3 linked regions of the Lepisosteus oculatus genome follow. The protein of the gene in region 2 purifies or fractionates together with the protein of the main gene of each other region. This does not show direct contact. Links are inferred from orthologs where the notes say so. Each region holds a gene or a part of one and is shown on either strand. Other genes may lie near its edges. The genes, in order: growth arrest and DNA damage-inducible protein GADD45 beta, map3k4 and gadd45ab.

Evidence for each region.
Region 1: the proteins of map3k4 (region 2) and growth arrest and DNA damage-inducible protein GADD45 beta purify together in Homo sapiens (co-immunoprecipitation; 3 studies listed by BioGRID and IntAct, counting the BioPlex papers as one, with this or other methods). This does not show direct contact. The link is inferred for Lepisosteus oculatus from reciprocal best matches to the Homo sapiens genes MAP3K4 and GADD45B.
Region 3: the proteins of map3k4 (region 2) and gadd45ab purify together in Homo sapiens (co-immunoprecipitation; 3 studies listed by BioGRID and IntAct, with this or other methods). This does not show direct contact. The link is inferred for Lepisosteus oculatus from reciprocal best matches to the Homo sapiens genes MAP3K4 and GADD45A.

The regions. Positions count from the first base shown.
Region 1 is NC_090724.1:1,676,447-1,686,875, reverse strand, and holds growth arrest and DNA damage-inducible protein GADD45 beta, read left to right. Parts: upstream 1-5,552; 5' UTR 5,553-5,722; coding exon 5,723-5,766; intron 5,767-5,947; coding exon 5,948-6,049; intron 6,050-6,243; coding exon 6,244-6,466; intron 6,467-6,804; coding exon 6,805-6,918; 3' UTR 6,919-7,680; downstream 7,681-10,429.
Region 2 is NC_090712.1:11,612,306-11,623,070, forward strand, and holds the start of map3k4 (mitogen-activated protein kinase kinase kinase 4), read left to right. Parts: upstream 1-5,294; 5' UTR 5,295-5,481; coding exon 5,482-5,513; intron 5,514-5,677; exon of another isoform or gene 5,678-5,813; intron 5,814-10,765. UniProt on the Homo sapiens protein: Component of a protein kinase signal transduction cascade. Activates the CSBP2, P38 and JNK MAPK pathways, but not the ERK pathway. Specifically phosphorylates and activates MAP2K4 and MAP2K6.
Region 3 is NC_090704.1:2,050,404-2,061,996, reverse strand, and holds gadd45ab (growth arrest and DNA damage-inducible protein GADD45 alpha), read left to right. Parts: upstream 1-6,778; 5' UTR 6,779-7,004; coding exon 7,005-7,045; intron 7,046-7,322; exon of another isoform or gene 7,323-7,387; intron 7,388-7,610; coding exon 7,611-7,712; intron 7,713-7,854; coding exon 7,855-8,068; intron 8,069-8,460; coding exon 8,461-8,574; 3' UTR 8,575-9,262; downstream 9,263-11,593. UniProt on the Homo sapiens protein: In T-cells, functions as a regulator of p38 MAPKs by inhibiting p88 phosphorylation and activity.

The sequences.
Region 1 (10,429 bases), on a different chromosome or scaffold from region 2:
AGTTTTCCAGTTTTGTGTGTGCCTGTGTGTTTTTTTTTTTTGGCGACATTCTATCTTGGGCTTGTTGACTCGGCAAAAAAGCTATTTCTGTTCGACGGCTAAGATTAGACCGTCTATTTTTTGCGCGTTGAGTACCGGATTAGCCCCGCGCCTGACGGCACCCTGCAGGCGTGTAGGAAGACAGCATCACCCAGTGCGGCCCCAGGCTGGTCATGGCCACGGAGACGAGGCTGGCGGCACAGGAACAGCTACTGAAAAAGAGAGAAATAAACACGGTTCTCTTGTCACCACCGATGTAGGAGTGGCGCGATGGTGCGTTTTGGGAAATATTGCACCTGGTGGCGGTTCCAGACCTTATCATTGAAGAGGGTCTACAGGAAAGATTTGGCTGGTGAGCTAAATAGGATGATAATGCTCTCCCCATTTTAGGATTCAACACAAAAAAAATAATCTAAGGGCAGAGACTTGCCATTATTATTATCCCAATTAGCATTAATCTGATGTTTTCGTCCAAATTTGGCTGTGGACTAAGTCTCTGACTGATGCTGGGCAGGCATCTTTACATCTCTCAGATCCAAGCTCAAGAGAACTGGGCGTGTGAGCTTACCGCCGAAACCTCTGTCAATGCCATCCTGAATCACTTGTTCAAGAGTTGTTTTTTATCTAAATTGCTCGCATGCATGTGCAAAGCAGAGCGCTTTTAGAAACTGAGGTGTGTTCTGCTGTGCACTTGTCCCCTGAGCTATCAGTGAAACGTGCAGAGAAGCGATCCGAAAGGACAAAAGGAGCGCCTTAAGGCTCGGTCCCATTTGAACACTCCACACCAGAGGCCGAGAGTTGAGGGATGGGTGATAACGACCTTTGCAGCAGGTGCCAGCCAATCCTGAGATTAAGGTCTAATGGCCCATCACAGTGTCCCTGAGCCAGCCTGTCTCATGTAAACGAGCAGGTCCGCACAGCAAGAGGGCACCGGAGCCACGTGTGTGGATTGGAGACCAGGGCCTCACTCAGACAAGGGGCAAAGGCCAGATACAACCCGATTGGCCGGTTTCTGATTCAGCCAATGAAAGACATAGCTGGTAATCCCTCAGCAGGGTTTCTGGGATAGGAAGCAGGGGCTAAAGTACCTTTCAGGAAGCGCTGTGGGTATCAGAAGCGAGCTGCCTGGGCAGAGCACACAAGCTGCCCCCTGGGAGGTCTTCTGACAAACCACTGGGTGAAACTCCGGGACCAACAGGCAGCAGACTTCCAGGTAAGCACCAAGGCCCAGTGTCTTTCGCCCTCGTGTCTTTCGTTGGGGCAAAAGGAGAAAGGAAATGTCTTCTGTCAGAAGGCTTGTGGTACCTTGTGTGAGCTGCAGCTGTGTGCTGACAGGCCAGCTCCTTCTGTTCCCCTCGCTTGGCTCACTGCAGCTCCCCGACGAACACTCCTCCTGTGCCCAGGACACAGGCAAGGTGAACAAACCTCACATTGAGGAATCGGAAAAGCAGCCCAGCTCATCTGATTCCAGTCACCTTTTAGGGTATTTCCTGCTATTTCCTGGTCCAGGTTTGTTTTTTTCTCCAGAAGCTCTCATTTTCTAACCACCAGGAGTTCGGGAAGGGCACTATAAACAGGGGGTCACAGGTTCAAATCCACCTGGTCCCTCCAACTGGCACCTTCTAGCTACTCCGTGGATCCTACTAGTTGCTTAGTTGGTCGGAACTTTATCTCCACGCCAGTGAATATCATCAGTGTTTTATCAGTGTTTATTTTCTTAGAAAATGTTTTTAGCCATTTAGAACTTCAGAGCACACTTTCAAAGTGTTCGAGGAACTCCAGATCAGCTCCACGGCTGAAAGCAGACCTGCTTGCAGTTTTCCCCGATCCCATGATTTCCAGGGAGAGCGCAAGTTTGAGCTGTGATCGGAGAGGTCGAAGGTCGGGCTTTTAGCACAACTTGCTGTGCCGTTTACTCACATCTATAAAGAGAGCTTTCAGACCGCGACTTATGAATCACAGGGGCCCTAACAAAAATGTCTATGGCACACTGCATTTTACATCGAATGCTAAAATAGTTTCTTTTGTTCAGGGCAATTCCATGTTCCTTTACAAATTACTTCTGGTGGGGGGAGGCAGTACAATTGAGCTATTCTTGTACGTTCTCTTCCGTGCGTGGGTGAGAATAGGCACCAACTTGCACAAGGAGACCCGAAACTCGCCCACTCCTGACTGTTTCCACCACTCGTGTGTTTGTGAATTTCAAGGTGAAAGACTACCTTGTCCCAGTGAAGCCGGTGAGCAGCCGTGGGTATCGGGGATTACCTAGCGCTGTTGCACTGATGTCGGTAGCGTGAAATCGACGCCCAGACAGAAGGAGCGCAGATTCACTGTCAGGGGATCAGGACAGTAAGCGATCGTGTTGGCTTCGTATGAGCACTGTCGTGCGAGTACCGGCCAGCTGCAGCCTTCGTGCACCGATACCATTTTGTCAGACCAAAGTGCTGAAATATTTAAAGCAGTTGTGCCAGTCTCGAGGGACACGGAGAGAACCCCCAGTGTCTGACTCGGTACCGCACCTCCGCGGGACACTTCTCTCCCGCTCCCCGACCACATTCCCAGGTAGACGAGTACAGGAAATGGGATCATTTGTTGTCTATGCCCTCCTCTGGTTAAAATCGAGATTTAAAAGCGTTTTGATGCGACTACAACAGCAATATATAAAATTCTATGATTTGCGACCCTGTTTTCACCTCTTCCTCAGATTAAAGTAGACGTCTTACGGTAGAGTGACGGTCATCTTTACGGATATATCTGCAGAAGATATATATATATTTGATATAAATCTGCAGAATGTCGTTTTTTGTGTGTCGGCGCGTCCGGTTATAGTCAGGACAGTTAAGGAGCGCTAACTCCATCATGACACCGAGCCGGTGTTGTTTGTTTCGGGGGTCAGTAGCTCCACGGTGTCGGCAGCGCTGATGGCGATGGTGACTAACAGACGTGATCGACTCCTCGTTCTGTCTGGTTAATGACTACATGATCGGACTGACTCATCCCCCACACACAGCCCCCTTCAGTCCGTGTCTCCGCAGAGAATGAAAAACACGTCCTTCCCTCTCACACACACACAGAACAACAACAACTGTGTCCAAACACCGTTAAGAGCAAGACCAAGCTCGCCCCGGGCTCGGTTTGAGGTGTGTGTGTGTGTGAACACTGCCCTGCTAACACGAGCAGAACACTCTGTCCTGAAGCACCGACCTGCAGCCTCGCAATTCCGACTCTGACAAAAGAAAGCGCCTTCCTCCGTTTCACACCTCGCTCAGGCGCTTGGCACATCAACCTGGATTTCCGAACGAAAAACTTTGAACTTCTTTCCGTTTCTTCATTTACATGTGTCGGGCGCTTGCTGTAACCGGCTGTTAACAGCTCCGGTGGCGCCTCGCAATTGAAATATGTGATTTTACCAATACGATCTCTAGCCAGGGCGAGAGGCGCCTCGCTTTAAATCGTGGACACTTCAGTCGTCAAGTTTGCCATCATTGAGAAATGGATTTAGGAAGCCGCTGACCTCGATTGAATGCCTTGCTACGTCTCATCCTACCCTGTACGTGGCAACCGTCTTATGCTATTCCAAACACATGCGCTCCAGAAGTATCTCGACATCAGTTAAGGTTATTTCTTCTGAGTCCTTCAGCGAAATTCACCCATGAATTAAAACCCGCGTCTTTTGAATTGAAATAAAAATGAGAGATCACGAGAAAAATAAATGACCGCTTACATTTAAAACATACTCATGCGACAGTCAATTAAACACATACAACTGACCCTATGAGACACTTCAGAAAGACGCATTTTCTCATTTTCGCCTGGAAACAGTGACAGGCAGGTGGCAGCACGGCTTCAATTATCAGTTGGCTAAATGCGCCCACTTTCCACCAGAGGGCGATCGCGGGCCGAGATACTGAGCCCCGCCGCGAAAGTGCAGCGTCACGCAATCCGGTTCAGACTGTTAGCAAGTTGCCGTGCTGGGGAGCAGTTGTTAACTCAGGGCATGTTAGCCACGTTAATCTGTTACTGTTATCATTCGTAGCAACCATTTTGACTGCATTTCATTGCAAATTGCTCTTTCACACAGCAAACTGTTGCAGTCAATTTATTTTAAAGATTATTTTTTTTCTTTCCAATAATAGTAAAATTATTTTTTTGTGTGCAAGCCTCACGAAAAAACACAAAACGTTACTTAACAGAAGAAGGGCAAATAAATTGTGAGGGCTATTACCCTGGAATTACCTCATGCTGGAAAGTTCATGAAAGTTGCGAGGCGTTACAACATGTACCTGCAGTGACTGCCTGTGACCACTAGGGGGACCCCCCGATAACAAAGTTAACGTGGAGCCGGTTTTCATTTGAAAACTCGGGGTTGCTGCAGTGTGATTTGGACAGTTGCTTATCAACAGTTACTGTGCACGGCACACAGCAATCGCAAAGCACAAAGAGAACACCAGTCTGCATCTAGCATTGCAACTCTTCCTAGTGTGCTTACTAAACCTGTTTTGTTGTACTGAAATTAAAAACCGATCGTGATTTTTCATAACTTTGTTATGGAAGTTGGGCCACCACAAAAACCAACAGAAATTAGGTATGCGAACACTGAAGCCCAGTGAAGACAGCGTCAACAATGTAGTGCGTGTCTCTGCGCCTCGTCCATGAAATCGCAATTAACCTCACAGGAATGCGGACGCGACGACGCGCAGGTTATGAAAATTCCAGGTAACACATCTAGAAATCCGGTCTTGCTTTCTGGAAACTAAACGTTGGAGGATGCTGCAGGTTAAAAAAAAAAAACACCCCGATACATCTAGAATAATACATGAAGTCGGATCGCGACAAGTTAATCATATGACATTCTCAGATGAGGCTGTTTTATCCTGTCACGCTGCCCTGTCAGTTGCACAACGCGTCCTCGGTTCTGCATGAGGCGCAAAGTCCCCCTCCTAACACGAGGAAAGTCAGGTGCTTCCAAAAAAGACGCGATCATAAGATAAGCCGAGTGGGGTCTGGTGTTGCAGTCCCCTTGCTAGAGAAGAGACACTGGGCCAGTACAGAAGCACGCAAATCCCCGAAAAGTATCACTGTATTGCTTTGCAAACACCTTTCAAAAGTTTCATGCAAGCGAACAGGTCCTCGCTGTCGACAGAGCTTGCAGTGAGCCGACATTTCAGATGTGCTTTTATTTACCGAAGCTCCTGCAATTATTTTCCTACTATTTTCACTTTTGTTCCCGAGTGAAAAACGGCGTAAGGAAACAGTCCGGGAATTCCAGAGGATTCGAAATTCAAACAAACACGGGTGAATTTCTTTGAGGGGGGGGGGGGAGAGAGAGGCTATCGCGCCCCACGTGGGCTCAGAGCGATACGTTCGTACGGGCCGCCCAATGGTTGCAAAGGCTGAGCTCGCTCTTGAAATCCTCTGGCCAATCAGAGCAAAGGGCTGCAGACCCGGCCTCGCCCACATGAAAAGACAATATATAGTCGTCTGCCGCCGAGAATATCCCAGAAACTAAGCGAGCGGACTTGGATATACAAACCGGTTTATTGTAACTCAGGCGATCGGACTCGGTTACAACGACTCTGAGCTGCAACGTTTGGATTACTCAGCCAGCGAGTACCTTGTTACACGGGATTTTAACTTTGGAGTTTATCTGGACATTGTGGATTACAACAATTTATATTTCAACATGACTCTGGAAGAAGTCGTTGGATGCAGTATCGCTGACCAAAAGTAAGTAAACGCTCTAAAGAAGTTTTGAGTTTCACTCACCTGAGCGCTGTGCTTTGCGACTGCACCTTGTAGCCGGGTCTCTCTTTGACTGTGTAGGGCTGCACATCGGCTCCTGCGAGCTCTGAACAGCTGGGATCGCGCTTAGCAAGTCCTAACCTCGGCTCCCTGTTCTCTCTTGCAGGATGGAAACCGTGGCGCAAGCTTTGGAAGAGCTGCTGGTGACGGCTCAGAGACAGGACAGCCTCACGGTGGGGGTCTACGAGTCTGCAAAGCTAATGAACATGTAAGTATCCGTTCATCTCATCGGCCGGGTACGTGTGATGAAGAGTCGAGGTGTCTGTGCTTCCACGTCTTGTATTATTGCACCGTATTGTGCGTTAGGGAGGTTGCAGAGGAGTGCAAACTGAAACTTAGCGAGCGGGGCGGTTTGCAGAGCCCGGTGCCCGTGTAGTAACGCTGTATCTCCTCCGCCCGCAGCGACCCCGACAGCGTCGTGCTCTGCATCCTGGCCACGGACGAAGAGGACGAGGACGACATCGCCCTGCAGATCCACTTCACGCTGATCCAAGCCTTCTGCTGCGACAACGACATCAACATCCTGCGGGTGTCGGGCGTGCAGAGGCTGGCGCAGGTGCTGGGCGAGGCGGGCGCGGACTGCAACGCCAACGAGCCGCGGGACCTGCACTGCCTCCTGGTCACTGTAAGTGTCCTACAGCGCTGTGCCCGGGGTGCGGGAGGGGTAGCAGACCAGCAGTCGTGGCTGAGACGCAGGAGGTGCTCATTCGCGGTGCTCATTCGCATGCTGGGCATGTGTCTCTTCAGTCCGGGTGCAACATTCAGAGCTGGCACCCGTGGTCCAGAATCGGCATTTCTTAGCGAATTCGGGGGCATGCAAAACGGGGTGGGAGGTCCGGGGTTGCTCGGAGCCGCCCGTGAGACGAGCCGGCAGCTCGGCAGTATCGCGCGTCACATGGCCCCGTGCTTTCAGTTTCGGGAATACAGGCCAGCGTGCTAATGATCCGCCTTCTCCCCTCCCAGAATCCGCACACCGACTCCGGGAAGAGCCAGGCGCTCAAGGCCGTCGGCAGCTACTGCGAGGAGAGCCGCTGCCAGAACCAGTGGGTCCCCTTCCTGGCGCTGCAGGAGCGCTGAGGGGCGCCGGCGCCCCAGCCGAAGCGGAGGACAACAGCGACATTCTCGGGGGAAGGAAGGAAATAAATAACTAAAAAAATGTTAGGGTGTATTCAACAACACACACACAACCGCACGGCCCTCGGCTTGCAACGAGCAGTTGGAAAGGAGCTGGGAAAGAGTGGACGGGACAGGGCCGGGCCCGGAGGCCGCGGTCTCGCCGCAGAGCGGAACAGCCCTGGCGGGGGACGCCGAGGGGGAACCCGGCGGGCCGGCGGGCAGGGCGGCGGAGCAGCGCCGTGGTGCGACGGGCAACCCTGCCAGTTTCACAGCGCCGAGGGGGTGGCGGCGGCGGGAGGGGAGGGGGGTTAGACTGTCGTGACGATTGCCTTGCCTGTTGCAGTAGGGGAGACGTGACACAAACCCAAAAAATCCCCCGGACACACACGGTGGAGAGGAACGGCGCTCTGACTAACATGCAAACCGGCAGGAGACGGCAAACAAGAAACCTGTGGGAGTGTGCGAGCAGAGCGGGTTCAGCCGCTTCCCAGTACACGGACTGCAAGTGACTTTCAAAGCTCATGTCAGAACCCACACCAGCACTCCCGCTGGTTTCGCAGCGATGTGGGTGTTGAGGGACATTCACATGAGCAGTGCAAGCTGGGTCTGGAATGTATTGAAGTGTCGAGATGAAATAATATATTCATTTTTCTATTTATGAACGTGTTTTCGAATGCCAGTTTTCACTTGTTTTGTTTTTAAATAAATTATTTGGATTGGAAATTGAAGTTCTTGTCTCTTTCTATTGGCTCTCATGCTGATGTGGCTCTTCTGGGGAGAATGGGTGGGGGTGCACCCCCATTGGTGGGTTTTGGGGTTCAACATTGCACAGTAAACTCCAACAGTGTTTCAAACTATTGCACTCGTAGCAGTGTGCAATAAGCATACATTTATTATCCCTTTGTGTTATAATTCAAGCTCATCCTCTTATTGCAGAACAGCCTAATGCTTCAGGAGCTGTTCTGGCCTACAAAATAAAGATTCACTAACTCATTGAAGTGAGGCTGGATCTCACTTACAGAAGCAGAGCTCCAGTTTGGAATAGTTCCCAGGGTACAAAAAGGGCACCTCGCTCACAAAGTTGCATTTCTAATCCTGTTGCAAATTTTCTTTTTCAAAAGACTTGCAGGTTCCACAATTATGAAATGAAAGGACAATGGGGGCCTTTTTTTCCCAAAAGGGATGTTTGTGTGTTCTGGGGGAGGAGGGTGAACTATTGCTTTGTATGCACATTTCATTTTAAAAAGGAAATGTTTCCGATACAATACCCTTTTCAGAATTCAGATATCAGGTGCTTTCCTCAAGGACAGAGCAGGGGCTGCAGAATGTGGGATATGAATGTCTTTGGGGCTCGGGATAAGAGCTTTCTCTGCTTGTGTTGAATGCATCTTGCTTTGCAACTCTGAGGGTCCACGCAGAAGATGCTTCAATAATCTCTGACCTTGTAGAGTCCCTTGAATATCTGCCTGCTTGTTATCTCAGCTGTCCCACCACTTCAACATAGCTATAAACCTTCTCCTCCATGATGTGTGCAGTTCTGCTTGCAGAATACAGCAGCCTTCATCCAAAGCCAAGGTTACACGAGTTTAAGGATCTTTTTTGGAAGATTGGAATCTCGCTGGGACCTACAGCCCTTCCAGGGAGAGAAAAAAGGGATTTGGAGAGCTTAGCCACATGAGCTGCTGCTACTGTGGATCTGGTTAAACTCAAGCTTCCGAGTTCAAAGTGAAATTGGCTGAATATGTTCAGGAGACTGAAAAAGCATGCAGGCTCAAGGCACTTCAATGCCAGCTTGGAAAGAGTGATCTGTGATTCTGGGCTGCTTGGCAGATTTTCGGTCTAGGCTGTACATCCGCAGGGAGCCCATGACTGCTCAGCAGGAACGTGCACTACCCAGTCACAGCAGTAAAACAAGTAGCCAGGAATGTCCTTGGTTCTCAGTAGCGTCATTTCCTTCAAGACAAAGCATTTTCGACTCTCCACCTTGCAGGGGAGGGCTGAGCCAGTGACGCAGGGCTGCTGTTTGATTTGGCAGGCTGTCTGGGCTCCGGACAAGCCAGCAGGCTGTTAGCAGCACCGGCTACACGTTCACTGGGATCCTCAGTGTGCTGTTAAATACACGACTGCAAAAGCTGCGATTATCTGGAGACTGTCCCCTGACAGGAAGCCACAGACTCCCAGCTAGGCAGCGTCTGTGAAAGATAACAACTGCAGCTCTATAAATCCCATTTCCTCCATGCTTCTCGACCGGGGCGGAGTGTGTGTTAAATTTAGCCGCCGTGGAAGGTGGGCCGCTATGGCAGGAGTGGAGCTCCGGCACGTTAGCTGTGGCTTCGCCTCACAGGACGAGAGCCGTGTGTCGACCAGGAGTCTGCAGGCCTGGTCCCGGAGATCCGGTCTTTCCCAGTTTCTTTCCAGCCAAGCGCCGAGTGCGCTTGATTGGATCAACCTGTGGCTTCATTAGGAGGAGTTAACTGCTTTCCAGATCCGTAATCATTGATCATCTCAGGCAACACGAGACGCCTGTAGCACCTCCGCTTTCCAGGACAAGGACTGCAGACTTTGTACCTTCTGGGCCTGCAGCAGTATCAACGGTTATGCATTTATTCAGAGATGGGCCCATGCAATATCACAATATTTTACTTGTTTAGATCAACCGGTCTGTCTGATTATTATTTTCACAGACTTGCAAGCCAGATATTTGGTCAATTCTGAATGCAGCGTGATTTTGGGCTGCATAATTTCTGCACCTCCTTCAAAACATACGGCAGAAATTTGAAAAGCTGCTGGATTTTTTTCCTCTCAAAACAGAGCCCCTTTTAAATTCCTATAAGTCTAAGTCTAAAAATATCCATTTATGGGTTCCCTGCCCGACCATGACAACTTTCTGTGAATTGAGAGCAATCGTGGGTCAGCAACACCTGCGGAAAGCACATTCTTGGTAAACGCTTTTTCAGAATGGAAAAATGTAAAAAATGAAATCATAAAATGCTTCTGTTTCGTATCTAAGTGTGTACGTGCTTCCTTGACTACCTGACAACTCTGGTTTGACCAGCCTGAGATCCTTCTGCTTCTCTCATCGCCTGAGCTCCTGGTTTACTTAGGTGTGTCAATTATTTTCTTAATTAGTCAGCAGTGTTCGTTTCTAGCGATTACTGCTTTTAAGACTCCTACAAAAAGCTGCAGGACTGTAATTGTTTTGAAGCTTTATTACACTGAATGGTGGAGCGCGTGAAATCTGTGCGGCCTGCCTGCAGGAGACAGGACCTGACCTCCAGAGAGACCAGCTGACGCAATCGAAGGGACATCAGCTGCAATGTTTTGGCTGCCTTTTGTCTTCTGCCTCTCAGATCAAGAAAACATCTTTCCTCGGCGTAGAAGCAGCCCTGATCTGCACAGCGCACTCGGCAGTCTCCTGCGGCGGCACACACAGCAGGCGTGCAGGTCGCCACTCGCCGTCCAAGAAGGAGGC
Region 2 (10,765 bases):
GTCATTCAGACAACTGACTCTGGGTTTTTTAGGAACAGGGACAATGGTGGTTTTCTTAAAGCAGGTAGGAACTATAGACTGAGCTAGAGAAAGAGTGAACATGTCCTAGAAGACACCACCCATAGCACCTGAATGCTATTAGACATGTATTTCTGGAAGTAGAGACAGCACATGGAAGTGTATTGAAAGTTTTTTATGATTTTGAATTAATGCCAGCATTTATTATTACTACATTTGAGAATTTTATGTTTCAATGCTTTTCACTGCCACTGGCATACACAGTACAAATACAGGGGTTCTTCAAATCTAACTCCAATTTTATATGAAGTATTGAATAATGCACTGTATTTATCTGTAACAGCAGGGTTGTGGTTTGTGGGCACTTTGAGATTTTAATTTTTTAAATGCACTTTGGCATTTTATTGTGCAGACTGTGACACCATGAAAGGTCTGTCAAGTTATCAGTCAGCCTCAGACAGCAGGAAAAAAATAAAAGACTCTTCTCTGAGATATTATGCTAATCTGTTTACGCATGCTTTTGAAGATGAAGTGGAGCACTGAGTTTGTTACATACCACTAATATAATATATACCACTAATATTATATATGCATATTTAACCCAAAAAGAGTTTTTTAAACATCTGTTACATGTTACATTCTTGAGTATGTAAGAACATATATAGCTCTAGTGGCACAATCGGTCAGCGTGCAGTACTTATACAGCAGTGCACAGGCAAGGCCTGAGCAAGGGCCTTATCCCCAACTGCTCCAGAGGTCCTGTATAAATAGCTGACCCCGCGCTCTGACCCCAAGTTTCTCTCCCTTTCTGTGTGTCTCATGGAGAGCAAATTGAGAATTGAGAGATTGTATATGGCCAATAAAGTGATCTCATATAATAATTGTCTTGTCCATATTATGTATGTATATACAGCCATCAAGAGTGTGCTAATACTAAACGCACAGTATATCACTGTCCATTTTTTGTTAGCCATTTCTTTCACAGACACACATTACAAATTCTTAAGGCAGGAACGATGAAACTGATTAGTGTCCCAGTGGAGTGGTGCAAGCCCTCAGTTCATTACAGAACTTTTAACAATCTTCCCCTTGCAGCTGATAATTGGATTAGGGATCAAGGGAATCCTTTTTTTCTTTCCCTACTCAGTATAAATTAAATGACCTTTGGACTACAATGTCTAGGGGATGGGGAAAGGAAGAACTCAGAAGGCGAGTGTTTCATGTAGAAGGGTTCTACACCTCTTTAATGTCAGCAGTATATTAAACAAACCTTCACACACTGCTAACACACATTTTGAAGCTTAATTTTGTCTTGGTAATTTCTTTTTGCTGCAGGAGACAGGATTTCTCTCCATAACTTTCCATTTAAAGCGCAGAGCTGTAAGAACTCTGAGAAGGGGTGTGCGGGTTCACAGGTGATGTTCACTGTCTGACTCTATTTTCTGCCTGTGTCCCAGGGAGTGACTCACTCCTTATATCCCTGTAGACTGTGCTGCTGAGGCTGAGCATCAGGCAGGGCTTTGCTGAAAGGTCACCCTGTGGGAGTCCTTGACAGACCTGCTGCTCTCCAGGCTCCATGCTGTCAGAGTTCTGTGTCTCAGCGTGCTGCTTTATCACCCATTACAAAAAATAGTCTTTCGTATGGATGGCAGCAATTAAATTTATGTGTAGGGCGTCTCATTTCTGTCAGCTCACAATGTCTCCATGCAATAAATGGCTTGTCAGCTTGCATGAGGCAGAATGAATGTGTGTGCATGGGGGTGTGACTATGCATTGTATATGTATATCTAGGTTGGTGTTTGTGTCTCTGTGTGCATGCTCTGTTCCAAATTTATTCTCCTTACTTTTAAAATCAAAACTCTTAGAAAGAATAACCCAATGAATTTATTGTATCTTTATCAAATGGCTGCAGGAAATATCTTTATTTTGTCTTTTACAACTTTGATCAGTAAAAACCAGTAAAGACTGCAAATTACTTTACAGTCATTTATATACCGGGTTATATTCAGCTTAAGTGCTACAGTGCACAGTGTACTGATGGTCAGGGTCCGGGTTTTCACTACAATGTTGCTCCTCTGTAAATAAAAATACACTTACAAATGAAGTCATTTACAAATACAGACCTATGGTCCTCATTTCTATAAACAACAATAAAACAGTAAAATACAGTAACAGAACTACACTAGGATTATTGAGCACAATCCTATACACTTTAAAAATTAATCAGTCTTTTTATGTTGTTCAAGAAAACACATTCAAAAAGTTATTTTGCATCACCTGCTTCAGTTCATTAGGAACTGTCTATTCTCTCCACTGTCTCACACTGTTGGTCTTGGTTACAGTCCTCATTCACATCACTCCTGTTTCTCAAGAAACAAACTTCCCTTTTTGTATCGATAAACATTGTAGTATGTACAGTATATAATTAAGTTACAAATATCACATTAAATAATGCGAATGACATTTACTATAGCCTGTCAACAACTGTGGTCATATTCTTTCGCATATTCTTCCTCCCACATGAACTGTGCAGAAGTGACACCTTGTGGTTCAGATTGTTATTCTGAAGCAGTATCAAAACAGAGAATATTTAAAAATTTAGCCTAGCCCAACTCCATCCTCTGTATATTTATAACATGTTTTTTTTTATTTTTTAACAAAATAAAACATATGGGAAAAGCAAAATACCTAAAATGCTAAAGTATCTAAAGAACTGTTTTACTTCAGATGTCTGGCTAAGGTGAGGAGTAGGATATTGCAGTAAGAATTCACAATATTTCCTATTACACTAATCATTGTGATCTTTATTCTTTGATTGGCCCTTTATGCATACTGGATGAATTTTTCTTTGCACCACAAAGATCTTACAGAACTTTGACTGGGAAAAAATAGGTTTCCTTTCCTCATAATGTTATTCAAGAATAATATACAATTTCACAGTTAAAATGTATTTTTCTATCAGACTTAATCTCCCAAGAGCAATGATTGAATCTACTGTAGGTGCGAGTCATTGCTATTTACTGTTGCCAACTGGAACAATCTGCAGAGTGAGTTGAAACTATCCAACTTTATATCTAAGGGTGTTTTCAGTTTCATGGTTAACTCTTTTCTACCTGGCATTTTCTTCTTTAACACTGATTCAATTCCTTTGCAAAAATGGTGCTGTCCTAAGCTTTTTGTCAGCATGTCATTGCAAATGAAAATTTATGCTCATCTGATTTTACTTTAATGTGATGACTGAACTGTGTGATAGCAGGGTTACCATTCTCTAGCCCGATCCTGTTCAGTCTCAGAAACAAAGTGAGGTTAGTTCTGGTCGGTACTGCAATGGGTGACCACCAAGGAAGACCAAGTTGCTTCTGTCAGTGTAGTTGGTGGTCCAATAGGAGGCACTTTGCCATCTGGACAAGGATATCTATACCAATGTCTCATTGACATCTTTTGGATGAGATTAAAAATGAGATCCTGTGTGCTTGGTCATTAAAGATCCCACTCATCATAAGGGGATTGATGCCCATTAGGTAGATGGGTGCTGCAATTACGTGATGGATGAATTGGGCCCCCTCATACATTTAGTTCTGGGATCCTTTAGGGTGATATGTGGTATATAAAAGTAATTAATTAATGGAATAATTTCCCTTAACAGCAGTAGGGCTACTTAAGCTGTTCTTCTTTTCTTCATGTTATGTTAATGAGGAGAATTTGGGAATAAAACTGAAGAACAGTATATAAACTACATGATCAATGCTTAAATATGTAAGAATAATGTTCATATAGAAACAATCTGAAACACTGTCATCCCACAAGAACCCTCTCTGTCACATTGCATATACAAGATATTAGGTTTCCCATGGAAATGAAAAACTGTGGACAGAGCTGTCACCATTCTCAGACTGAATACTCATTTACAGTCTCTTAACATTGAATGAAGCATTTGTTCTGTTATTTTTTATTATTTATTTGTGGAAAATGTGCTATCTTTCCAGCTTCAGTATAATGCTGTAATCTGAGACAGAATGAGATTCGATTCCTTGCACAGCAGGCCAGTCGATTAGCAAACCAAAACACAGAAAGCGCTTGGAGCACAAAAACTGTTACTATGGTAAAACAAAACTGATGGATATCGCTGGTCTGTTTTGTTCTGGAGGTTTCTTTTAAAAAGAATATACGGAATACACTGAAATTCAGTTTGGTAATGAACTGATCAAATGAACACAGAAGGCAGGGCAGTGTAACTTGTAGAAATGCATGCACATATCACTTATCAGCGGTAATGCTTTCAATTTCCTGTCTAATGGCACAGCCCCATTTATTCATTTAGAGGATCACAATGAGGAGGAAATTGTTACTGTGCCATTCTCTCTGAGATTTTTTTTGTGTTCTTGCCAAAGCAAAATGATCCATATTAAGGTCTAGTTGTATCAATATAATACACAGCTGGGCAATCTCTTTCAGGTTATTTTATGAAAAAAATTAACTTGAGAGTAAAGCAATGCTATGGTTAGGTTAATTGAACTCATAATAGATAGGAGTACAAACATCACAGAAGGGATTTACTTTTGTGAGAATGTAGAAGTGTCTTAAGGAGCAATTAATAGATTCTTCAAACTTTTATATTATTAGGGTCTTTAAAAACTACCATCAAAACTTTTTGAACATTCAAATTACATTTAAGTTTAATCAAAATCCTTTAAAATGCAACTTATTACTTTAGCATCTTTTGCATTTGTCTATAGCTGTTCAGCCACTACCATCTAAGCACTTCACACACAGAAGATTACTCAATTCCCAGTTTAAAACATCACAAAATGGGGATATTAACAAAAACAATAATTTAAGAACAAAATATTAAAAGTAGACCGAGTTGGTCTGGCCTTACTGACATGATTCATTTAACAACTGTAATTTCAATTGAAAATTGAATTCATTTTTTGGTCCATTTTCTTTTAAGCCAATATATGCTTTAAAAGAATAATACATAATTTAACCTAATGTTAAAGTTGTTGAAAACATTTGGTACAATAAATATATGTACCATGTATATATGCATAATGTGTATTAAAAATTACAGTAGAAACATCGTATTCTCCCATGCGAAGCGTATTTCCTGGCCTTGTGCACCGGCAGCTTGATGAGCTGCTCTCTGCGGTTTATTAGTGCACGGTAGTAATTGCTGGGTCAGGGTATAATTAAAGCCTATCACACTAGCTCAGGAGTCGTCACGGTGGCTCTCTGATGTACTGCACGGGTTGCCGTAGAGATGAACTGCCTAGCTCCTTCAGTGATTGCTAGCAAGATGGCCGCTAAGCACAGAGAGAGGTGCCTGGGCTCTGCAGGGGGATAGAGACATTAGTGGGCTAGCGCCGATTTGGTGACTCTTGCGAAAAGTGCAAAACCCAGAAGTCTTCGCCCAGCCATGGCGGCTGTCATGCACATATAGAAAAATCCCACCCTCGCCCCAATATGGAGCCGGCAGCGTCGGGCGAGCGCAGCAGGTAAGCAAATCGCAGAAACTGGTGTGGTTTGAAAAAAAATGAACTACACAGCCGGGACCCGGCCCTTGCCACATTGTGATCTTACAGTGAAAACCAAAGGCATTGTTGGATTTGCGCTTGCGCAGCAGCTTCGAATTGCCTTCCTGTCAAAAAGTGATCAGCTTGCAGCTGCATCCTCAAGTGGTATAGTGTATTGAAGTTGAAAAGTTTTTGAAGAAAAATCTACATATATCTGCACGGGATTCCTGGTTCAGACAGAATATCGAGTAACATCATAAAAATGCTCACCGTCTAGAAAAGGTAATTACTTCATTCTAAGGCAGAATGCACGACAACACCGGAGGGACTTGTGTTGCAACACTTGCTTATTGTCTGCAGGATTTTCGAATGCACATTCCCAGTTGAAAACTTTTAAAATTAGATTGCATTGTAAAATGGGGACACAATGTAGGTGCACTTTCATCTTCTCTTTGAAGATTTGAATGCATTCTGTAGGTGAGTATCATTACCTTACTGAACGGTGATTTTAAAGATTTTCTTTCTGAGATGGTTCCTGTGAAATGTGCATATAACCAGGATTATCGGCTCAAAATGTACAGTATCATTATTGTAGTAACTCTGAGGGACAACTGATGTGAGACTAACGCAATCTGCTTTACTGGATCTCTGTTCAGCTTTGCTCAAATTCCATTTTGCTATAACCGGAATGCGCTCAGTATGGAGATCTTTTCTTAAGACTTATCTGCAATTGGGAACAGTCTTGGCACAGGTAGCATATTCTCTACAAATCCTGTTGCAGATTGTGGTGCTCAGTTGTATGAATGCTCTTGTGAAAAAGCAATACCAGTGCATCAAAATAATGCACGTACATCGGACAAGATGTTCAGGATTGTCTGGGGACAGTCGTTCATCCAGTAATGGTGTGTAATTTAGCATATCGAGTGTTTTTAAAGCAGCCTTTAGCTTTCGACAGTCCATGTCCTTTTGGATGCTTAGAAGCGGATTTAGAAAAAGGGCAAGACGGTCGTTACTTTCTTTCAAATGTAAAAAAAAAATGCATTTGATGTGATTGTAGAGTTTGGGGTCAGTTTTATGTCCCTGCGTGCATTTAAAAAACGTGCGATTGTTTTCTTTGATTTATGAGGATGCATACCGTCTACGTCATTGTGCAGGTTCCCAATGTGCTTTTTTGCCTGCTTCTCTTGTTTGCAATACAGGGAGACTATTGCTTAAGCAATAGTCATATTAATGAGTGTTTTTCCTGTTTTGCAAATTGTGTGCGCCAGTTTCCTACTTCACTGTAAGATTCGTAATTCCAGGAAACAAGTGTCAAAGAAAGATGACTAGGAAAAATGCAGATCCAGTTGCTGGAAGGACTAGATTACAATTCATGCATGAAAGTTTTATTTTCATTTTTGATTCTTGCTGCTTGGTTGTGGGTGTGATAATGGTCACGTTCTGCTTCTGATTCTTTGTTTCCATATTGACTTTGGTTTTGATATTTTGTAAATTAGTCTTTGAGAGAACTTGCTTGTGTATGTTGATGTAGTAGTTTCTTGTATTCATTTGCTCCTGTTTTACAAATACACCTGTACTTTGCAGTCCGTTTTACCTTTACTTTGCGTCAAGATTCCAGATTTTTATTTTTTGGATGTTAAACTTATTAATGTACACCAATATGTTGAGTGTGAATCCCATATTTCCCCATAGTTTCTATACAAGGGTTGATCAGAAATTAACATCACCTTTTTTAATTACAAAAATGTATTTGGTGCCTGAATTGTAGAGGGTATGATCATTTGGAATACTTCAGAATTCTGCACCAAGAAACAGGAAATTCAAGTCTTCGAGTACCAAAAGTTTCTTTTTCCATGACGCTTATTATTATTATTATTATTATTAATATTTTTAAATTGTAGGTCATTACTTTCTGTGCATTTTTCTTATTGTTTAAACTTCAGTAGGAGTGAAAAACAAAACAATAATTGTGCTGTAAAGTAATAGAAACAAATGTATTTTCTGTAAAAGAGTTATAATACTCAGCTGCTTGTCACAGGGGGAGCAAATTGTAAGTGGAAAGAGAGTAAAAACAGGGTTGTGTCAGCTTGCAGTCCTTGGTTGGTGATGCAGTGTGGAGGGATGCTGTCTGATTCATTGCATTGTTTGTATCATTCAAGGTCAGGAGGACCAACACCCTGTCGCACTGGGTCGAGGACTGAGGGTGTTAGAGGGGATGGTGGTGGGTAGAGGGTCCTGTGGAATTGTACTCCACATCTGTGGAAAGAAGCCAGAAAATCCATTTTATGGGTAGAACTCGTGGGCTTTGTCTAGATCACCAGCCAGGCTTTACATATGAAAGGCAGCAGGGGCAGCTTGTTTGTGTTGTTAATTTCTTGGCATTGTTAATCGTAATCTTTTCTAAACATCACGGCATGCCTTTTAGGCGTTACACTAGTGTTTTACCACACCAACAAGGACCTGCAGTTTTGTGTAGTGATATGACGGTAACCCTTTCTAACGGATGAAAGTGTCTATAGGTTTGAGGAATGCCTTTTGCCACACTTATTTGAACCCTTTGCCTGAGGACGTTTCACCTTTTCTTTTAGATAGATAGATAAGACTTTATTGATCCCAAAGGGAAATTGAGGAAATTGAAGTTTTTCGTTTTTGCATTTGTAAAAAGAAATTGTTATTGCCTGCAAGGCGCTAGTTGTACTGAGCTTTGAGCTATTGCACTATTAGTTTCAGACGTCCCTATAGTCCAGAGCGCTCTGGTCTTGCACTCTAGGCATGGGTGCCCTGCAGGGTCCAAGTGCGGTTCTTAACGGCACCTTTCTTTGCAGATTGTCCAGATAGCCATTTATAAACAACCAGCTTCTGAACTGGTCCATTTAAAACATGAATAAACTGGCTTAGATTATTAAGAGCTACAAACCTGCAAACACGCTACAGGACTAGGGTTAGAAACCTCTTCCGTAGACCTAGAGGCCGAGACCAGAACCAAATTACTTCCACTCCACTTAATGACTTCCTTGATTTCATTATGACTCAATTGTTTTTTAATTGTGTTGAGTGTACATGAGTTTGACTTTCCTATTAAATATGCAGGACATTGGCTCTCAAAACCAGGAGTGAGGATATCACTGTTGTAGATCCAGGACTGGGGTTACTCCCTAATGGCTTATGCTGTGTATTGCTGTGGCTGGTGCCATTTCTTCAACTGCGTTTAATGTGAATGTTATTTTTGCATATGACCTTCAGCCCACACTTGATTTTCATAGTACTAAGGTATGAAGGATGGGTGGTGTTTAAAGTGCACTTTGTCTTGTATTGTTACGACCCTATTAAAGACTGAAATTAAGCAGTTGGAAAATGGATGAATAGATGTTATGTTGCAGCAGTTAATACTTTAATGACCCTCATCCTTGACTTAAATTTTGGATTTCTATTTTTAAGTCTATTTTGGTTTTCTTCTTAGTTGTGTAAATGTTAGGTAACCATTAATAGAAATGTTTTTAAGCTTTAAAGCCAGGAAATTAATTAATTATTCCAGAATTAAACATACCAAAGCATGCATTATATATTCTAGTGCACAGCAGCTCTGCAACTTACATTTTTGCCAATCTGGCTACAAAGATTACAATTATAAACATCTGCTGATACAGCAGTTACTGACTGTTTTAAATTCAAGAGATGTTTCCTGCAAAATTTGATTTCTAGCCTCTTTTTGCTGTAAACCTAAACCCAAGAGCTTCTGCTCTATTCCGCTCCTAATTAGCAGTTAGACAGGTGTTTGCTATGGAATAGTACAGTGTTTGATTCTGAGTAGCTAGTCATGGTTTTTTGAGAATCACAGTGATTAATTCAACATATTTGTAAGAACTCCACATTCACCTTTCCATTGCTAGAAAACCATAGCTTTGTCATAGCAATTGTTAGTCCTAAAATTGCTTTATAGCTGAATTTCCGACTTTGATAACCTTCAACACAAACCTTGTTTTTCTCTTTTCCCACTCAGGCTTCTGGTTTAAATTGCTTTCCAGTTCCATGTGTCTGAAACCCCCCAACCCGATGCTGTTCTAAGAAATGATGCACTCGGCATCTCTCACTCTCTGAGTAAGCAGGCATATTTCTGAACCCACAGTCAGAAATAGCAGGCATTTTGTTTATACCAGCCAATTGGTTCAGTATGAAATGCATTGCGTCCAAGTGTTACCTTCCTATCTTTTCTGGGCATCTGTTATTAACCAGTTCCATGTGTAATACATTTGCATTTTGTACCTTATCTTTAAGTCAACAACACTGTTTTAATTTACTTTAATTGAGCAAAGTGCAAAGTCAAAGCTTGCTATATTAATGAAGATTTCCCCTTTGCTTGTTCTGTGTGTCACATCCTGATAAGAGTGAATTTGTTGTCAGTGTTCCAATTAGGAATGCTGCTGTTTTTCTTTTTTCTTGCTCTGTTTTAGTGGAGCATTTTACTTGCACCGCTGTCCGTGTTGCCGCTACAACAGGTTAAGATCAGTTGGCTTTATTGGGGTCATTGTTTTTACTGGCTCAGAGGTGAAGCTGGCCTGGGGTTACTTAGGTTCGAAAGTGGAAGTCCAGAGTTACAAGTAGGACTTACTGAAAGTAACTGCTATTGAAAGAATTGTGTGTGCATTCCAAGAGTACTTTTGGCTTCAAGTCTGTAGCGTCAAGGCTGTGCTGTTTCTTTGCTGGGTGGGGTCATTGTGTGTGTTGTCACTGAATTATTTTCACTGACTCAGGCCCTGGTTTGAGATTGTTGTGCAGTGTGTGTTATTTGGAGGATTTTCTTGGAGAGATTTAATTAGGTAGCTGAAATTTGCTTTGTCACTGGAAGCAAGGTGGTGATTTGATCAGCTTACGCTGGACTAACCATCAGCATCAGAAATGCTAATTATAAAAACGTCTAGTATTACGTAACCTGACCCTTGGCGAGGTCTTAGGTGCTTTTACAAAGAGTGACTTTGCGAAAATACTGAAGTACACAACAGGTATCAACAGAGCGGCCAGAGCTTTAAAGGTTCCTGAAAACATTATCTGCAACGCTCCACATTTTGGGATTAGTTTCTACAATACAATTTTTTAAAAAAATCTACCCACTTGAGCTTGATTTGTAGATTTCAGGCCTATCAGATTTGTCTGTTATTTTTAAAATTGGAATATTATTAAATTCCTGTAATACACTGGAAGCTTTATGACGTATTCATTTCATGCGTGGTTAGGGA
Region 3 (11,593 bases), on a different chromosome or scaffold from region 2:
TCTCATTTGAAAACTGAACTGAAAAACATCTGTAGCTAATGAGCAAGTCTATATTTATCTACTTCACCATCTTCTGAGGTGAACAAACTCCGAAAGTGGTTTCAGAAATGTAAATGTTTGCTTTCACGGGAAAAAAGACCTTGATCTGAAAACTAACAAATCCTTTTTTGGAAAACCATAATCAATTGTAGAATAAGTAAAAACTAGCAAAGCGTCTCTCTCGGTTTTGATTAGTTTGACTTCACGAGGTTGTACGCAGTTGCTTATTTAAACTAATATGCCAATTAACATCTTTAAAAAGCACAGATTGCATTACAGTTTAACACAAAAAAAAGAAACCCTACTGAATTTCTGCATGCAGGAGGAGAAAACCAGGGGTATTCGCTCAGACTTACGTGGTTTCTTCACAGTCTCTGGCCTGAAGGAGAGTGAACAGTCTTTCGCCCTGCTGTCAAAGTACACCTTCCACATCAGCCCTCTCCGAACCACAGCACAGCCGCAAGCCTGACCCCTCTCAGGGCTGGGCCTCTGCAAGCACGGGCAAAGTGCAGGCCGTTGAAACAGCGGCCTGCTCCCTGCCTTCAGGAATTAATCAATAGAGCCCTTAGTTTAACAACCCCTGCATCACAGGCAATTCCTGAAGGGCTTGTCATCCATGGGGAGCTCTTCAGTAGCTTCAACGTGGAAGTGCATCTGCACCACATGGCAGTGCATTTCGAAACATTTAAAACCAAAAGCAGGGTGCTTCCTTACACAGAGGGCGGTGGGAGTGTGGAACAAGCCGCTCAGCCATGCTGGTGGAGCCTGATACCCTGGACCGAGCACCGTAGAATGTATCCATAATGTACGTATGATTTAATATCTGCACTTTTTTTTTTACAGATCCTAACATTCTGTCTGTAGGAATGGGTGTTTTCCCCACATGGTCTAGAACAAGAAAACGATGCATCAACATAAACAGCTGAGTCTTTGTAGACTAAAAGGTGAACGCTTTGAGCCCAGTGTTTTCCACAGGAGTGTGTTCTTGTGACCTGCATGTACTGCGATACTGTACACACACTAACAAACGCCATTGATGTCATCCGACTGGTGTTTGGTCAATCTCGAATCTTGTGTAAGTATTTATGGAATTCCTTTGGAGCATTTTTAGGACGTTTTTTTTTCTTGCTCAAAGGCATTATTTTTCCTACAGGCTTAGGTGGATGGACTGTTGTGCAGATTCTCTCCTCGCACTCCACTTGTACTCCATCATTAGGATTACAGTTTTGCTTGGATTTTTTTTTTTTTGCCCTGAAACACTTAGTAACATCAAATCTTTCTTTGTTTAAAAAATAACAGAAGTGTAATTTTATCTTTAAGAAAAAAAAAACAGAAGTGTAATTTTATCTTTAAAGAAAAAAAAAACAGAAAACAATAGAAAATAACCCCGTTTTATAGGCAGGGGAACGCGGTCTTTAAATTTGACATTACCTGTAAGGCCCCAGCCTGAAACACTGGAGACGTCAGCCGAAAACGAACCGATTTCGCATTTCGATGATCTGTCTGTGAAGAGGAGAGAAGTTAGGATCAAATTGCTCTCAAACTTTCCATCAGACCAAGCGAGTAACGAGTCACAGAAAAGGGCAATCGCGGTTTCCTTACAATACCTACTGCAATATTAAAAAAAAAAAAAAACGTGTCCTCTGGAATACACAAAAAGTATAGTAATAAACACGGCCGGTTCTGACAGACTGAATATTTGCTTGACAATTCGCCTTGCGAAAATAACCGAAAAGTGGGACATTTGAATAGGCGCTGTAGTTTATTTTCTCGTAAGGGTCAATTCGATCTACGATTTTAAACGCATAACCGTACTTGTTACCATCTCTGCGTGTTTACAATAAAGCCGTTCGGATCAATAAAATATGCTTCCCTTCTTAAAAGGCAATAAAAAAAACTGTTAACACATAATCCACGCGTATACACAGATAAGTTCATGTTGTATTACATACGAGGTCAACTGCACCTCGTCTCTGAAACAAATATAAGGCCAAGAAGGCGTAGTGGTTCAAAAAAAAAACCTCACCTTCAGCAAGACCGCACCTGTCCGTTATCTGACAAAAATCACACCGGATTGCAGCAAAACTACTTGGGGGAAAAAAAAGTCGCTCTTCTTAAGAACTGGGAAAAAAAAAACAACTAAAACGTTATTGCTAACAAAACTTATAACCTGGTCGGTGTACTCACATTTTAAATTCTTTCTGAATTCTTTTGTGACGTTGAAGAGCTTCTTTTCTGGTTTTTTGTTTTAATTAATTAGATGGCAAATTTAATTATCATTCCGTTCATGTCCCGTAGACTTTCTCCGAAAGCGTCTCTGCCACGTAGGACGGAACCATTCTTTCCCGGCCGAGGTTTCTCGGGGAACTTCATCGTGTACCCGAAAATCAAAACGGCACTGGCTGCCCACCATGTGGAGAAGGGACTTAAGACATAAGTCAACTTTATTTTATCTGAAAGTGGATTGCACGATTCACACTTTTTCTAAAACCGATTATCATTCACATATGTCATGCGTTTTGAAATTTGCTGGGTTCTGTGTGGGTATGCTTTAATAAATCAGCCCGCTAGCTGGCGATGACCAGTTTGTGATGGATAAAATAACGCAAGGCAAAGTTTTGAATGTACCTCTGTGTTTAATAATTTATATATTATATTATGCAAAGGAACAAGTTATAGGTTTATTCCATGCTGAAAAAAAGAAGAAAGAGAACACAACGTTTCGGCCGTGGAGCCTTCTTCAGGTGTAGGCATTGAAACGTTTTTCTTCTATATTTGGAAAACCAGAATATGAAACGTCTGATGTGCTAATTTAGTTTCGGTTTTTTTCCTAGGTTAGTAATTAAGATGAATTAAGTGTTCAAGCTCCTTTCACTATCCCAAGATTAAATAAAAAACAAATAGAACGGTATTGAAAATCTTCCACAAACCAGTAAGGGCAAATTAAAGGTAAAAGATCCAGTTAAATTAGGAGAACATTAAATTTCAAATGCAGGTAGAAAATGTAAAAAGCCAGAGAGAGATGGAAAGGAATACTGCAGTGGAGGCTAAAATATATAAAGTTTCTTTCAGCCCTACAACTATAAAAAAAAAACATACCGCATGATTTTGGGAAACTTCTAGACAATGGGAGGGAAATGACTGATGTATTAAATTAATTTCTCAGTCAGGTGTTCACTGAGGAAGAACTCGACCACACGCCTCAGGCAACAGAAGGAATATGTTCTGTATTCAATGCCATTCACATAAAAGAAGAAGGCAGAAGAGTTGCAGGTCAGTGAAAATAAATTTCCAGGGCCCGATGGCGAAACGAGATGCTACTCATAATTAAGAGTCCTTAACACAGCTCTTGCAACAACTGCTAAAGAAGCGAACTGGAGAATTGTTATTGAAATGTATTTCCATACAAATGGTGCTCACACAAACAGTGACAGGACAGGAGTAGGGCACTGGCGTGCAGGGTTCTGGACCGGAAGGATGTTTGTTCAAATTCCAGGGGAGACCCTGCTGTTGCACCCCTGAGCGAGGTACTGCACCCATATAAATGTATAAATGGGCTGAAATATAGTTTGCTCTAAAGAAGATTTTCAGTCAAATACTGTAAATATAAAACCGCACCATGTTATTACAGACCAAAAAGTGTGACTTGTATTACATGTATGGTTAAAAAAAAATTATTGGAGCTAAACTAGGGGATCACCTGTACGGAGACAGACAACATTGACAATGTTTCCTTGGCCATGCTTTCCTAAAGTTCTATACCATAACTCTTAATGCATAACCATGCATGGACTGCGATTTCATTGTGGTTCACTGGACTTTTCTATGCTTTTACTCTGGTGTACCACTGTTAACATCATACGGGCATGCCTTTGATGTTCACATTAATTTTTACATTCAATAAGAAAAGGAGACATGATAGCTCTTGGACAAAATATCCTGATAAACTGAACCTTACACTGCTTGTATGAAAGCTGGCTCAGGTGCAAGTCTTGGGTTAAACAGGGATTCCAGGGTGCGAGCAAGGAGCACTGAGTGTGTGTTTGTTTCCTCAAAGGCCTCTCTGTTTGAGCTGCAGTTAACGCAGAAACCACAATTACAGAGGTGCCTTGAATCCTCTCAGCCGGGAGTGCCAGAAAAAAAAAAGACAATATAACTGCCAACTTGTGAAACAGAGCTGTGTCATTTTATTTTTCTTGCAATAAAGAACTGACTGGAAACAAGTCGAACAGTAGGACAGTCATGAGACGGCTCTGTGTCTGAACAGCAAGCGCTGTTTACTTTCAAAGCGTGGCGGGATAAAGGCCGGGCCAGTTTTGCTGCCTGGTTGTGTTTTCCAAGGCTCTGCAGTTTATGGGGACAGACTGGTGTTTTTATGTTTTAAGCTTGCAGTTTGGCTACAACGTTTAGCTCAGCAGCTTGACGTTAGTGGGTCACATGGTTTCCTGTTTCTGAACTCAGCTTCAGGGTGTTGGTGTGTTTTATGTTAGTCTGTGCAGTTCTAGGTCATACCTTTGACTGGGTTGGTGTGTGTGTGTTGGGGGTTCGTTTTTGCACCCTGTAATTCTTCACTTCCTTCAGTCTTTCCTTCTTTTTGAGTTCTTGAGCTTGGTGTCCCCATCCTAATTCCTAAACCCCAAACCAACTAACGTATTTATTGTAAATATCGGATATCATCACAGCTGGATACAAATTGCATCGCACCCAGTGGATTGCAGGTCAGATGTGGACATTTTCAAGTAAATAAATCCTGGAACAGTAAATGTTGTCTTTATTTGAGCAACACTACTTTCCAATACCTGGGAAGGGGTTACTGGAGATACAGCCTGTTTAAACCTTCAGTGGGCAAACTAAAAGCTATTAAGAGTCATGTACTGTACAGGTATGTGACCCTGATCCAACCCTAACGTCTTCAACGCTTCTGACAGGCTCCTTACAGCATCTGTGTACATAAATATATCAAGCGGGTCTTTATAGAGAACTGTTTCAAGGCCTTCTGTAACCAAAAGGAACATTTTCCATTTCACGTGAAGAATCCGAAGCGTGTGTGGGTCAGTGTAACCGGTGGACCTGATCGCAGGAGGAGTCCCGTACCGGTCGAATCTCGCAGTCTGCCAGGCGTCAGGGCTAAATTAATACAGTAAACAGCTCTCAACCATCCCTTTCAGCCTGTGGGGAGCCTTAAAGGACCCACATAACTCTCCAAGGTTATCCATACAACACTCTACAGATTAATGAGGTTCGTAGGTAAGGAAACTTCCTTTTTTGAATAACCTTCCCTTGTTTTGTTTGCAGAAAAAAATTAATTATTATTTGTTAGAATTTAACCTCCCCCCCACCCTCCCCACACACACACACACAATAGAAAAACAGCAATTTCCTTTAATCTTAAAGGCATGGAGTCTGACAACAAAGACTAATAAAAATAACCACTATTAATCCAGAGGCCAGCTGCCTTAGTTTCAGAAACATTATCACAACCATGCTGATTGATTTACTGACCGAAAATTGGGTTATCCGCACGCTGCATTGTATTAATATAACATTAGTTTATACTTTTATTTCATGTGGAATGAAATAAGGAATCGGTGAATATAGCGATTATGTTAAACGCATTTGAAATTAATTATGGACTAACCAATTTCAAACTGTTTTATGTTTTGTTACTTCAGATACCGGTGTAGAGGCCGTATCATGGGCCCTTCGCAGGGAGTATGGGGAGTTTCGAACAGCAAAGTGCGAGGAGGAAAATAAGTGTACCTATCGTAAGTCGGTTATTTTATTTTCTTTACGTTAATATCGACGTGTGTGAAGCGGCCGTGAAGAATCCGACTCCCGAGAAACGTCGTCCTTCGCACCCGCGCTCGGGGTCTCGCGGGTACCTGGTTTTTCGCGCTCAAATCCCCTGTGCCGCCTCGTGCCGGCCTGGACGGGCGGCTGGCCAATCAGGAGCCTGTTGCCGGGGCCCGCGCGGGTGCGCCGCCCGCCGCCCTCCTGCTGCCGGGTCACCGGACCGGAAGCGTCTTTTCACGAACTTCTATTTCTGCCTCGGAACTGCAGGCAGAGGCGTCTCGGAAAGCGCAGGACGTCGGTGGGAACGGACGCCCCCTGCCTTATTAACTCAGCGCGGGTTTTCAACTCTACACCCCCCTCTCCGTCTGCGCTGCCTTATATTTAATTTGCATTGTAATCCCTGTCACCCCGACAAGCACATTATTCGCCCACCAACGTCTGGTTCTGGCTGTGCAAATGACCCCATTACCCCGCTAAGGCAATCAATCACCACCCGAGTGGGCTGAGCTCCCTCGGTTTGGCCACTCGGGGTCGCCATTCACCAGATTCTTTCGACGTATTTAAACTGCAAATAAAGCGGCTGTCTCCGCACGCACCGCCCCCGGGGCTGAGCTGCACAGCCATCCCACTTGACAGTGCAGGGCTCCAATCCACTAACACACAGAAAAACTTATTCTCGGGTTCTCATTCCTGTCTGTCGGGGGAAACCTGCATGCAAATGAAACCTGCATGCTCTCTCTCTGCCTCTGCCTCTGCCTCTGTCTCTGTGTCCGCGCACGGATTTAAAAAGACGAGTTGTTGGACTGAGGCGCTGTGCACCGGGCTGTGGCTGCTGTAGGACGGAGCTCCAATCAGACCAGCCAGCCGGGGCGGCGAGAGCGCAGCGGCCCAGCCCTGCGGGGTCACACCTCCTCCCTCATTAGCACCGGGCCAATCAGCTCCCGCATGCAAATCGGGGCAGATGTAGTGCCGAGGTGGCGAGCGGCACAGCTCGTCCGCAGTCACGGAGCGCCTGTTGCACAGACGCGCACAGAATCGGGAGCCGCCGGACGCCTCGCCTTGTCTGGGAATTACTCTCCTTGGAGCAGCGCCGGGATTCCCGGGAGACTACCTCCACCTTGGATATTGTATCCCCCACCACCCCCCCACCTTCCCGGATCTGATTGTGCACCATGACTTTTGAGGAGCTCAGTGGAGATCACGCCGCAGAAAGGTGACTGCACCGGCGGCGGTAGTTTCAGTCCCGAGCCTACCCTTGTGTTTTGGACGTGTATTATTTTTTAAAAACAACAACAACAACAACAACAACAACGGTTCATTCATTCCAGCCCGCAGCACCCCTGTTGCTTTCCGAAAGCCAAGCGCGGACGGGTGTCTTGGGGGTGCAGCCGAGCCGGGTGCCCGTGTAGATCAAGTCGGGGGTCGCGGTGCGGCCGGTCTCGGGGACACCCGTGCGGCCGGGAGCTCGCGCCGCGGGGCGGGTTGCGCTCGCGACAGCCCGGCTGCACGCCGGTCCGGTCGGGTCCGGTCCGGTCCGGTCGGGGTTCCCACCCAGGTCGGTCCTGCCCGCAACCGTGGGCTCGGCTTCCGTGTGTCGTGTCCTGTGGGGGGGGGGGGTGTGCGGGGCTGCACACGGCGGAGCTCGCAGACCGTCGACGGACACCGTCTGTAACGGAAAAGCTGTTCAAAGGTCGAGGGGAAGTTCGGCCGGGACCGACGCCGCTTCTCCTCCTCCTTTGACTCACCTCTCCCTCCCCCCCATCCCTGTTATTTTCCAGAATGGATTCCGTGGGAAAAGCCTTGGAAGAAGTGCTGCACTCCGCGTTGCCGCAGGGATGCATCACGGTCGGGGTCTATGAAGCGGCCAAGTCGCTCAACGTGTGAGTTTCGCCTCCGCCGTGTCCGCTGCCGGTCCGGCCGCAGCCCCGGGGCCGGTCCGGGGCCGGGCGGCGCGCTGAGAGGAGGAGGAGGAGGAGGATGATGATGATGATGTTGTTGTTGTTGTTCTGCCCTCCTGTCCAGCGATCCGGACAACGTGGTGCTGTGTCTGCTGGCCACGGACGAGGAGGACGTCAAGGACGTGGCCCTGCAGATCCACTTCACGCTGATCCAGGCGTTCTGCTGCGAGAACGACATCAACATCCTGCGCGTCGGCAACATGGGGCGCCTGGCCGAGATCCTGGGGGCCGCCAAGCAGGGCGGGGAGCCCCAGGACCTGCACTGCGTGCTGGTCACGGTGAGTGTGCCCGCCCGCCTGCCCGTGCCGCTGCAGGGGAGCCGGCTGGTGCTCTCTGTGTCTGTTGGGGCAGAGAGGTGCAGGCGGGGGGCTGACTGGTCTCCACAGGCACTAACTGACTGGTCTCCGCCGCCGGCGCTGTGATGGTTGGTGCCTGTGAACCTCGGGGGGGGGGTTTGGGTGCCTGTCAATAAGCGATAACCCTGGGCCCCAGCAGGGGTGGCACAGAGCCGGCCGAACCCAGGAGGAGAGCAGCCCCTTCAGGGCCCCTGCAGCGCCCCCCAGAGGAAGGGAGCTCTGGGACTGCGGCCCTCTACACAGGGGTGCCCTCAAAGAGTGCTAAACAAAACCGCACCTATTCATATCCCCTTCTCCTCCTCTCCCCCCCCTAGAACCCACACTCGTCGGCGTGGAAAGACCCCGCCTTGAGCAAAGTGAACGGTTTCTGCAGGGAGAGCCGGTGCCTGGACCAGTGGGTGCCCCTCGTCAATCTCCCCGAGCGCTGAGGGCCGGACTGCGACGCCAGCCCTTCGTTTTCCTCTCTCTCCCTCTCTCCGATGAATTGCACTGGATTGCCGGAATGCTCTGCTGAGGAACTCAGGAGGCACAAAAAAAAAATGAAAAACACCACCACCACCACCACCACCTCTCACGCTGGTGGAAAATAACTTGCAGCTGGGCTGGGAGAGGCGGAGCCGGCCCGGCGGAGCAGCGGGCCGTGGGCCGGCGGCGTGACTCAGCAGACTGGGGGCCGGCCTGCTCTGCAGCAGGAAGTGGGCCGTGTCCGGGGGCTCATCAGCCTCGCAGGAGGGGATCTGTGGTTCAGCCGGGACTCTGAAACTGGACAGACGCCACGGGCCGAGCCGGTCCCCATTTTAGGTATTACAGCAGGAAACACGGGGTGTTTTGAGATTCTGGAGTTAATTATTACCGTTATCTTCATGACTATTGCTGTTGTTGTTTTTCTGTTACTCTTATTTAAAAGAGAAGCGCTCGGACCCTTACTTTTGGATAAGCAATGACGATGCCTTCTGCAGAATGCCATTGCAGTGAATTATTTTGAGTAAGAAACGTTTGACCGGTAACTTTTGTTTTCATTGCTGTTAAGTTATTTTTTTATTATATTAACTTTATTGTATTTATGTTGCCGTTTCTACCAACATCAGATTTGTTGAATAAATGGCTTGGACCTCGTGTTCGTGTGCAGGTCGAGTTCTCTGCCTGCCTGGAGCAGAGGAGACAGGGGAGTTCTGCTTCTGCTAGTGCCTGCAGGGGAGGATTTTGATGCGTTGGGACCGTTCACAGGGTTCGGGACAGAGGTTTTCCTTGTGACGTGGGCTGCACTACTGCCACACAGCCCCTGGTGTGGATTCCAGCTTGAAGTGCCTGTCCGTGGGGAGTCTGCGTGTTCTCTCCGCTCCTGGCACAGCAAGTACTGGCTTTGCTGGTGTGCAAGCCCAGCTGCTGCTCATTCCCCACCTAAGCCCAGGCCACCAGTTCCCTTCCTTGCAAGGTTTCAAAGATACTGCTGCAGTTTCAAATGCTCAGCAGCTTATCTGGCGCCTAACGCTAAAATCTGCTTTAGTTCGGATGAGGTTATCTGAGGCTCGGAGTGGGGCAGGGGAGGGTGTTATGCATGAAGTTACATAACGCTGCAACACAGGAACTTGCCAGTCATGACAGCTTAAGAAGATGTAGGGCAGCGGTGTGGACCGGCGGGTCCGGCCCTGGACGCGGGTCCCAGGGGAGACACCGCTGTTGTGTCCTTGAGCTCGGCACCTCGCCTGCGCTGCTCCTGAGCGCCACCCGGCCGTGGAACCGGCTGCGGGCGGACACGGCTTGGGATAAATGCAGCAGATGAAGGGAAAAATAAACCATTTGTGCGTGCACGTAAGATCATAGGCCGTGCAAGATAAATTGTCCAAAAAAGCAGCGCTTGGTTCTTCTGTTTCCTTCTGCGCTGTTCTGGATGGCCTGAAACTGCCCCCACCCGTCACCTGAAAGTGGCTGAAAGCTTCAAGGTGTTTTTTGTTTTGTTAAGAACAGCGGTTATTTGCATAATGAGACATCTGATGTTACAGCTGGGGATGGCGTGGGCTTTCTTTCTCAGGTTTGGTCAACACTTCATTTCGGAGTGGAGTGGTGTGTGTGTGGGGGGGGGACGACTTTGGGAAGAGCTATTTAAAGCAGCGTGTGAAAATACCCGACCTTGACTGATAAAAGCCCAAGGTCATAAACTGGAAACGAAAGGAAAGAACAGGATTTGGCACTGAGAGCGCACACACACGCACACGCACGCACACACGCGCGTTTTTCCATTGTGTGTTTTGTGCGAACTGTACAAAGGACAAAAGCACCACAGCCGGGTCTCCATGGAGAAAGAGCCCCGCTGACCCCGGTCACGGACACCGTCATTCGGAAACTTCTCCGGGTGTCGCTCTGTCAACCGGCTTCATTCTGCAGCCCGCGGCGCAGCTGAAAGCGGTGCGATATTATACCGGCCTTCGGCGCAGATGGCGAAGCAGTCGAGACCGGACACTCCAGCGTGGATGTGGAAAAGCGCAGTTTGCGCAGCGCTCGTCCCGCACAGGAGCGGAGGCGGGACGAGAAATGAGGCGCAGGAGCACCGACAGTGCCGGAGAGAGCGGCACCGTCTGCTTCAGGGGTCGAAGGCTGTCGAGACCCTGTTCGCGAATAGCCCTCCCGTGTCAGTCACGGGTCTCTCCTCTGCTGCGTATTATAGCGCTGTTATCAGCAACTGAAAAAAAAGTATTTTGGCCGCGACGAGACGTGCAGGTTATCATTAGAAAAAAAAAATAAAACTGCATGACGCCGGCTTTCGCAGAGGAAAAACAATTTACTGTTGGTCAGGTTTTGGACTGAGTGCGTTACGTGTATGAAAGTCTCACACTGCCAAGAGATTAATTTCAGGTTTAAAGAAAAAAAACAGAGAGAAGGACAAACAACGTTTCTGGTGCGTGAAGGAGCCTCTGCAGACTTAAACGTTGCATTTTTCTTTTTCGGTTTCCAGCGTGGAATTAAGCTCGCCTTGTTACGAGCAGCTCCCACGCTGTCGAGCCTCTTCAAATATCACAAACTACGGTATACACAGTCTCAGTCTCAGTCCCGTGAGACTTTTTCATGAGAAGGTCTCCTAGCATCACCCCCTGACGCAAGGGGATTTTCTCATGAAAGCCCAAGAATGACAGACCTCCATTAACCAAAGCCATATCGCAGGGACACAGATAGTCTTTTTTTATCAGAGCAGCGCACGGGCATCTCCGGGGACGGACGCGAGTTAAGACAAACACAGGAGGACCACAGAGATAAGCATCCCAACCCTGCCTGCTCCTGTGTGGTCTGGGGCCGACTGTCCTTGTGAAAAGTTCAAAGGTCGAAACTAACGTTTGACTCGCTCGCTCGTCAGTCTCTGACCCCGCTCTCCTCGGCGCTGTGAAAGCGGAGAGCTCGGACTGCAGTGCCTGTTGATTCACGATCAGATTTCTCCTGCGGGTTAAAGATAGT